Xenopus tropicalis: one gene and its partner. The protein of the gene in region 2 interacts with the protein of the main gene of each other region in a pairwise test. Links are inferred from orthologs where the notes say so. Each region holds a gene or a part of one and is shown on either strand. Other genes may lie near its edges.

Region 1 (3,831 bases), about 85 Mb from region 2:
TCCCTTATACAGAAATCCATTATCCAGAAAGTTCTGAATTACGGAAAGGCCATCTCCCATAGACTCCATTATAAGCAAATAATTCTAATTTTTAAAAATGATTTCCTTTTTCTCTGTAATAATAAAACAGTACCTTGTACTTGATCCCAACTAAGATATAATTACCCCTTATTGGGGGCAGAACAGTCCTATTGGGTTTATTTCATGGTTAAATGATTCCCTTTTCTCTGTAATAATAAAACAGTACCTGTACTTGATCCCAACTAAGATATAATTACCCCTTATTGGGGGCAGAACAGCCCTATTGGGTTTATTTCATGGTTAAATGATTCCCTTTTCTCTGTAATAATAAAACAGTACCTGTACTTGATCCCAACTAAGGTATAATTACCCCTTATTGGAGGCAAAACAGCCCTATTGGGTTTATTTAATGGTTAAATGATTCCCTTTTCTCTGTAATAATAAAACAGTACCTGTGCTTGATCCCAACTAAGGTATAGTAAATTTATTGTAGGCAAAACAATCTTATTGGGTTTATTCAATATTTATATGATTTTAAGTTATGGAGATCCAAATTACAGAAAGACCCCTTATCCAGAAAACCCCAGGTCCTGAGCATTCTGGATAACAGGTCCTATACCTGTACTATGATTTAGGTTTTAGAATCACTTCTGTTTTTAGAAAATTGTATTTTCCTGTATTTTAAATTCCAATATTTTCTATAGTATGCCTCCCCCATAAGGCACACTAACAGGCCTACAGTCTGCTGAGGAAAGTTAAAGAACAGCAGCACTTTAGCAACCTGCCAATTGCTTAGTATATCAATGTATCACAGAATTATTATATCCAGAAGTTTGGCAACAACAAACCCATTACTATCCTTTACCATTCTGGAAAACCCTGCATAGCATTTGTTCTCCTTCAGAATCATCTTGTCTTTTATATCACCCAATCCTATACTTAAAGGATAAGTAAAACTTTAAAATAAGTGAATGTAGAATTGATGAGAGTTATTGTAACTACTTACTACTGCCACCCTAAGAAATAATTCTAAATCCCTTTCAATCGTTTACTTTACTTACACTATATATGTTATTTATATTTTGTTCCCTTCCATCTTGGAATTACACAATCACAGCAAGAAGGTGCCACTTTGTGGATACTTATTAAGGCAAGCTTTGTATCACCCCAAAATCTTGTGTATGTGCCAGAATGGGGCCTAATGCCCATCCAATGCACTGGCTATGCAGATGAGATGAAGAGTAGTGACATCTAGTAAGTGCTGACTAGAAAGTAAAAGGAATGGACATTTATTTTCATATGAGCAGTGCAGTTGGTGAAAATAAAACACATAAGGACCCATACAGGTTTCATATTAACAAAGCACAGTGAAGCAATGGAAGGAGGCTGGCACACACCTGCTGCAGAAGTCGTATCCTCATGGCACGGTCAGTGGAGGAAAACATTTTAACTACAACTGGAATGATTTTTTGCTGGTATTCATCAGCATTCAGAAATTTCCCAATCTATAAAAACACACGAAATGTTAAAATGCTGCTGTGCTATGCTCTGGGCATATCTGCAGTACGGCAAACAATACAATATGAAATTAAAGCTTTGGAACAAACCAAATTAGGGAGGGGGTGAGTCAGAGTACACTTCCACATTTGTCACAAGTGCTGGCAGAATTTTTGCCTTAGCAAATACTTGATATGTTGTTCAGACACAGTAATGCACTGCCACGTCACATAAAACCGCTCACTGTGCCTGTTTATTTATGGCATAAACATCTAACACAAGCTACCACACCTTAAAGGAGAAGTGCACCTTAGAAATGAATTAAGTATGTGTACAAGCTACTATAAGTTAAAGTAACTGCATTGTATATTGTTAATAATGCATATAATTTATATATATATATATAATTATGGCCTTTCCCTACCCTGTTGGGGTCATTATCCATAGCAACCAGAATGCAAACTAAAAACAATGGTACATATCCAAGTTAGTTTGAATAGTGTGAATTATAGCTCAGTGGGTGGCAACAAATTACTACATACCCACCCGCAATGCAATTGTCTGAAGGTGTTTGGCCATGTTGGAAACATAGCGGTCTGTATCGCTAAGGGCTCTGGAACTCCCCGAGTTGCCTTCCCCTGCCATCCCATCGGCGACAATGTAAGTCGCCGGCGGGATGGCAGACGCGGCGGCGCGATTTCGCGCAAATCGCCGAAAAAGACTCGCGAGGGGAAGGCAACTCGGGGAGATTAGTCGCCTGCGAACAGGGAGTTTTGCCGCGGGCGACTAATCTCCCCGTGTGCCAGAGCCCTAAAAGCTGAAAGTGCACTTTCCCTTTAACTTTAAGATGGTAGAATCTCAGGGTGGAAATGGAAATATAAGAATTTGTAGGCACACACTACCATTGTGAGAACCAACCTTACCTTGAAAAGTGGGGGCAAAACAACAGCGCCTGCGCTGCCAAATTCAAATGCTGTCAGCAGCTGTGGAAGGATTTTATGTCGACAGAAATCTTCAGGGAAGGAGTCTAAGTTTTCACTGAGCTGTTCAAAAAACGTCTGCTTTTCTGCTGGGTCCTTTATCTAAGGAAACAAGAACGAGAAGTTAAATGGGCAGTTTCCCTAGCCCAAGCTGTCTGTTTTCAATTTGTTCATAACAGGTAATTTATTTTAATCTATTGCTTGAGTGTGCTTGGGCAGAAGTCTGCCAAGGTGAACTGCTAGTACTTCAATTCCCAAGATCCCCTAAAGACACCAAAATATGCTTGAAAATTAGAGCCTGTGGCAAAGATGGCAGGACAATGGCCTGCTTACTCAGAGGGAATTCCTAGGCATCAAACAAGCAGTCTGAAAAGGATCTCAAAAAGGACTGGTGTCAGTCTCACAACTGTGTAAGCGCGATTTGCTCATAGGAAGAGCCAATGTATAGACCAGGGATCCCCAACCTGTGACATGTGAGCAACGCAAACACAAAAACTTTCCTAAAAGGTGACCAATAAGAACTCAGATTTGTTAAAGAGTAGCCCAATATGGACTGACAGACTACTAGAGGCTCTGTTTAGCAGTACACATGATCTTATTGCCTCCAAAACTTGCTTCTAAGTCAGAAATTCAAAAATCAGCACAGACTTTGGGGCCACTGGGACCAACATCAAAGGGGTTGGTGAGAAACATGTTGCTTGCGAGCCACTGGTTGGGGATCATTGACTTAGACCATCTCTGGAGCCCTCTCTGAAGGCTATGGTTCACTAAAAAGGACACTGAAAAAATATCTTATGGGAGGTTAATCAGGAGAATAAAGAAAAGAGCAGGAGTTGTCTTGTTTCTTAGAAAAAAAAAAGTTTCTTAGAGTTGCATTCTCTTTAACTGGATGGAGTTCCCCTTAAATTCAGGAATTATTCTCAGTAGGGGCATAAGCTGCAGTTGAGGTGTCTGCATGTCTAGGTTAGCTGGAAAAGATGGGGGAGGGGAACCAATTTAAGATGCCCATACATGGTCAGATTTAAGCTGCCGATTCGAGCCCTGTAGACTGATTCGGCAACTTATTTGCCCCCCCGACAAACCTCCCCAAAAGATATCTGGCCAAAAATCATCCAGGTGTCGATTGGAAATGTTTGATTGTCCCACTGGATCAGGAACTGCATTGGATCACTGATGCGGTCCTCAACCTAACAACTCTTATTCAATCATTAAGCACAATAATGCCCACCTTAAGTTAGCATATCAGGGGACGATACAGTTGTTTAGCGACCTCGCTAAATGAACGGATCTTAACTTGTCTGGCAAGTTAGCAATTTTTTAGCAATTAAAAAGC
Region 2 (4,282 bases):
ATGAACATCGCTGTAACGTTACTTTCAAATCACTATAAACCACTGGGGTAATATTGGCATTTGCCAGTGTTTGTCTCACTATATAATCATATAGCCTGACACTTTTATACAATTTATGCATAACTAGCATGCTTGGTATAGGTGTAATCCAACACATTCCACCTAAGTATATGTTTTATTTTCACAGTTTAGCAGCTTGGCATGAAGTGAGTTTAGTATTTACTTATTCAGTGTTATTTCCATCATTCTCCACCCATTGGGTATTATCATAGCTGTTAATATGTTAACAACAAAATGCCTGTATAATATAAGCACACAATTACTATAATTACTATTTAATAAAATGTCAGTAGTTACTGGGAACTCTTGAACTAAATTCCTTCACATGCTCTAATTAAATTGTTTTAAGGCCTTTTATACCTTTAAGCATTTACAATATCTATGAGGGCCAAGGGATCCTTATAGATGGGGAAAGTTGTAGTACATTGGGTCAGACAGAATGTTATGAGATTTTTTTTCACTGCAGAATAGGAATACTTCAAGTGAAACACAGTGGATTTATTTTTAGTATCTATAAAGGTGGTTCAAAGTGACATGTATTTTTCCTTTAAATATTAGTTTTCTAATAAAAATGTGTGGTGTGTATATATATATATATATATAATGTATGATTTTGTTTGCTTATGTGAAATAAAGGTAAATACCCTTCATATTCTTCAGTTGTCTGAGAAGTGTAACACACACGGCAACTTTATGCATGGTCAAGCCTCAAGCACAGAGACAGGAAAAATAAACATGCCTTTTAACCGTCATTGGGGAGAAAAAAAGCTAAACAAAAGCTTGCAAGATTTATATAATAGTGATGTTATGACTGTGTTTGGAGACCTCTTTGGTGTGAGTTGCCTTCTAAATCAACAGTTCCCAAACTTTGGGGCTGCCCCTAATAGTGGTGAGTGGACAGCCTCAAATTCTTACAGTGAGATTTGGGGAGAATGCCTGTTTGATCTCCTAGATACTGCTGTAAGCACAATCAGTTAGATTTCAATGAAACATTTTATTCTCAGTCTTGAAGGGCAGTGGCATCAGTGCGACTGGCCTCCTGTGAATTTTTCTGCTTCTGAGGCAGGAAGCAAAATGCTCTTATTTACACCTCAACTGGTATTTCATTGGCCTGGCCAGTAAAAATGATGTTTGCTGTTAATGTTTTTAATAGGGAAGAAGATTAAGAATATAGGAAGAACGGTATTTCATTTTACAGAAAAGATGGCAACCGTACTTCAGAAGACTTTCCGCTTGAAAATACAGTGACGTTTCCACATGATCAGCTGACTCATGAGTGATCTGGTAGGGTCCAAGCAAATACCTATTTAAATGGGTGATTATGGGCATTTAAACACTGCCCTGGCACCAGCCCTGTGTCACATTGCCCTTACACAATGATTGATACAGCAATGTTGTCATAAATCTCTAATGCTGTTATAAGCTATAGGGGGATCCAGTACCAAATGTCAGGGCTCATAACAGGGCTTGAATCAAGAAAGCATAAAACATAGCAACTCTGGCACACTGCAGCAGACAGCTCCATGTTTATTGGACAGCTAATAATGTATTTTTACAAATTTGTAATATTGTGTGTACTGGGAGGAGTATTTTACAGAGCAATCCTTTTACGTTTGGGCCTAACCATGAACGAACAAACACACACGCACCTAACAGACAGATAGGTGTGTGTGTGTTTGTATATATATTATATATATATATATATAGTATAAAAAAGACCAGCAACTCTGGGATTTCTTGTGAAAAATCAAAACATATATTCAAAGTAGCATAAACAGCCGACGTAACGTTTCGGTCCCTCATCGGGACCTTTCTCAGGTGGGGACCGAAACATTACGTTGGCCGTTTATGCTACTTTGAATATATGTTTTGATTTTTCACAAGAAATCCCGGGGGTTGCTGGTCTTTTTTATACTATTGGAACCCTTTACCGAGCACCCGAGGTATGTTATGTAGTGGTGTGCCATCCTTTGTGTATATATATATATATATATATATATATATAGCTGCGTGTAAACATAAAACATAACATGGGAACCCTGCCTATATATATATATATATATATATATATATATATATATATATATATATATATACACACATCATCCTGATGACGATCCTGTGGTGATCGAAACTCGTAGATGGTATGCTGAAATAAATCACTGACTTGATTGACGCTATAGCTGTGAGTGCTTTCTACTGTTGAGTTTGATGCATTATTTTTGTCAGCACCCAGCCGTTACCCCGATATTGGGGAGTGCCGATTCTTTACAAGACTAATATATATATATATATATATATATATATACACACACACCATAGTAAAAAAAGGGCACACTCTGAAAACATTTTGTAAATGCCTGGGTGCCAGATATAGATATCAAACTACAAACTATAACCATGGAATGGACACAGCACTCACAGGTCTTTAAAAGAAATTGATATTATCCTTTATTAGTGCAAAATCGACTCCTAGATATGAGTCTAACCATAATATCAACTTGTTATAAAGACGTACGAGTGCTGTGTCTATATATTTATTTACACATATCTATCTAGTGTGGCAGGGTTTCCATGTTATATATTGACATCTATCTATCTGACATAAGTATAACGCAGCGAGGATGGCGCAATGCAGATCTAAGTAATGTGCAATGCCCTACCTGTACCTTGTTTCGTTTTAAGGTTCCTAAGCTCCTCTTCGGAGAATCCTGCCCAGCCAGCCATGTTTCCCTATTGCCAGCACACAGCCCTACTTCCGCCTCCCCTGCCACGTAGAGGCCCCTCCCCTCAGGGAGCGCTGCTCAGGCTGTTTGGGAGAATGCCTGACACAAAGGGATACAGTACATTTTCCTGCTGATGAAACGCCGAGCCATTAAATATTGGCGTGGTGCTCATGGAATCGAAAGTCATGAGAACATAATACCTTAATTCAAAGACAATGAATGAAATGAAAATGGATTCCATGTTACTATCAGGCACATATTCGAACACGCTTCTCGTTGCTATGGTTGCGCAGTAAAGCAAAAATATTCTGTAAATTTAGCTAAACGTTCCAGCACAGTTGTGTCTAGTGGGGTCAAGGGCGACATACCTGCTGCTCCAGCATAACCTGTCAGCCTGGCGTGGATTAAATTACGATAGAGAAAATACAAATATATATATATATATAACCTCAGTCATTATCTCTGCTTGGAATCGTTGGAATTTAGTGAACAGAGCAATTTGAAATTTCAATGACAGCCATATTACTGTGTAAAAGGGGATGTTCACCTTTATAAAAGTTTAAGAAAATAAATATTTTTTTCCATTTTAAACAATATCTACTATTTGGTTTTCACTAACAAAATAAAACAGCATTTTTAATATTATACCCAGAAAGGTGCATTACAGTGATGTTTAGCTTCCCACTCTTGACAAAGCTAGATTTCTGACACCCCTGGTGTGATGTGACGAGCAGAATGGGGGGGCACGTTGATCTGTACCACACATGCCTTCTTTATTTTCATATGCTTGGTCCCATTCACTAGAATGTGTCAACCAATGGGATCCATGATCCATGAAGTAGCCAGTCATTGCCTGTGTCTCCTATTCATGTCACTGGGCAGTGGGAGAAGTCCTCCCCAGAAAACCTGAATATAGGATTTGAGAAAATTACCAAAATTAATTTATCAGATAGACCAGGGGTCCTCAAACTTTTTAAACATGGGGCCAGTTCATGGTCCCTCAGACTGTTTGTGTGTTGGACCGTAGTCCCCCCCCCCCCCCCCCGCATCCTCAAACTACAGCGCACTCCCTGCTCCCCACTGCATCTGTACACAGGTAGTAGCCAGGGATGAGGACGCAGTGGGGGCTGGGTAAATTACCTTGGGGGGCTGGATCTGGCCCACGGGCCGTAGTTTGAGAATCCCTGAGACAGACCATTCAAGTTCAGAGTAATGAAGGGGGTTAAAAGTCATAAGAAGGTGTAAGTTATTTTTTGATTTATGGGAAGCCATGATATGGATTTCAGCAGTGTAGGGGTATGCTCAGAGGAGGAGGATTCTAGAATGAAGTAAAGAGAGATAAGAGTTAGGGAGATTGGTTAGAAAACTGCAGTAGGTTAGGTATGCATGAGCGTCTTAACTGTTGCTTGTGAGAAAAGGGTATGGGATTAGAAGTACTGCATGGGAAAAAGTGTCAGGTTTTGAAGGTGGGGTTAATATTGTCAGTGAAGATGCCT

The links.
Region 1: the proteins of gorab (region 2) and scyl1 interact in a two-hybrid assay, tested with the Homo sapiens proteins (2 studies listed by BioGRID and IntAct). The link is inferred for Xenopus tropicalis from reciprocal best matches to the Homo sapiens genes GORAB and SCYL1.

The regions. Positions count from the first base shown.
Region 1 is NC_030680.2:33,683,941-33,687,771, forward strand, and holds part of scyl1 (N-terminal kinase-like protein), read right to left. Parts: intron 2,601-3,831; coding exon 2,442-2,600; intron 1,527-2,441; coding exon 1,419-1,526; intron 1-1,418. UniProt on the Homo sapiens protein: Regulates COPI-mediated retrograde protein traffic at the interface between the Golgi apparatus and the endoplasmic reticulum. Involved in the maintenance of the Golgi apparatus morphology.
Region 2 is NC_030680.2:118,364,107-118,368,388, forward strand, and holds the start of gorab (RAB6-interacting golgin), read right to left. Parts: upstream 2,833-4,282; 5' UTR 2,788-2,832; coding exon 2,724-2,787; intron 1-2,723.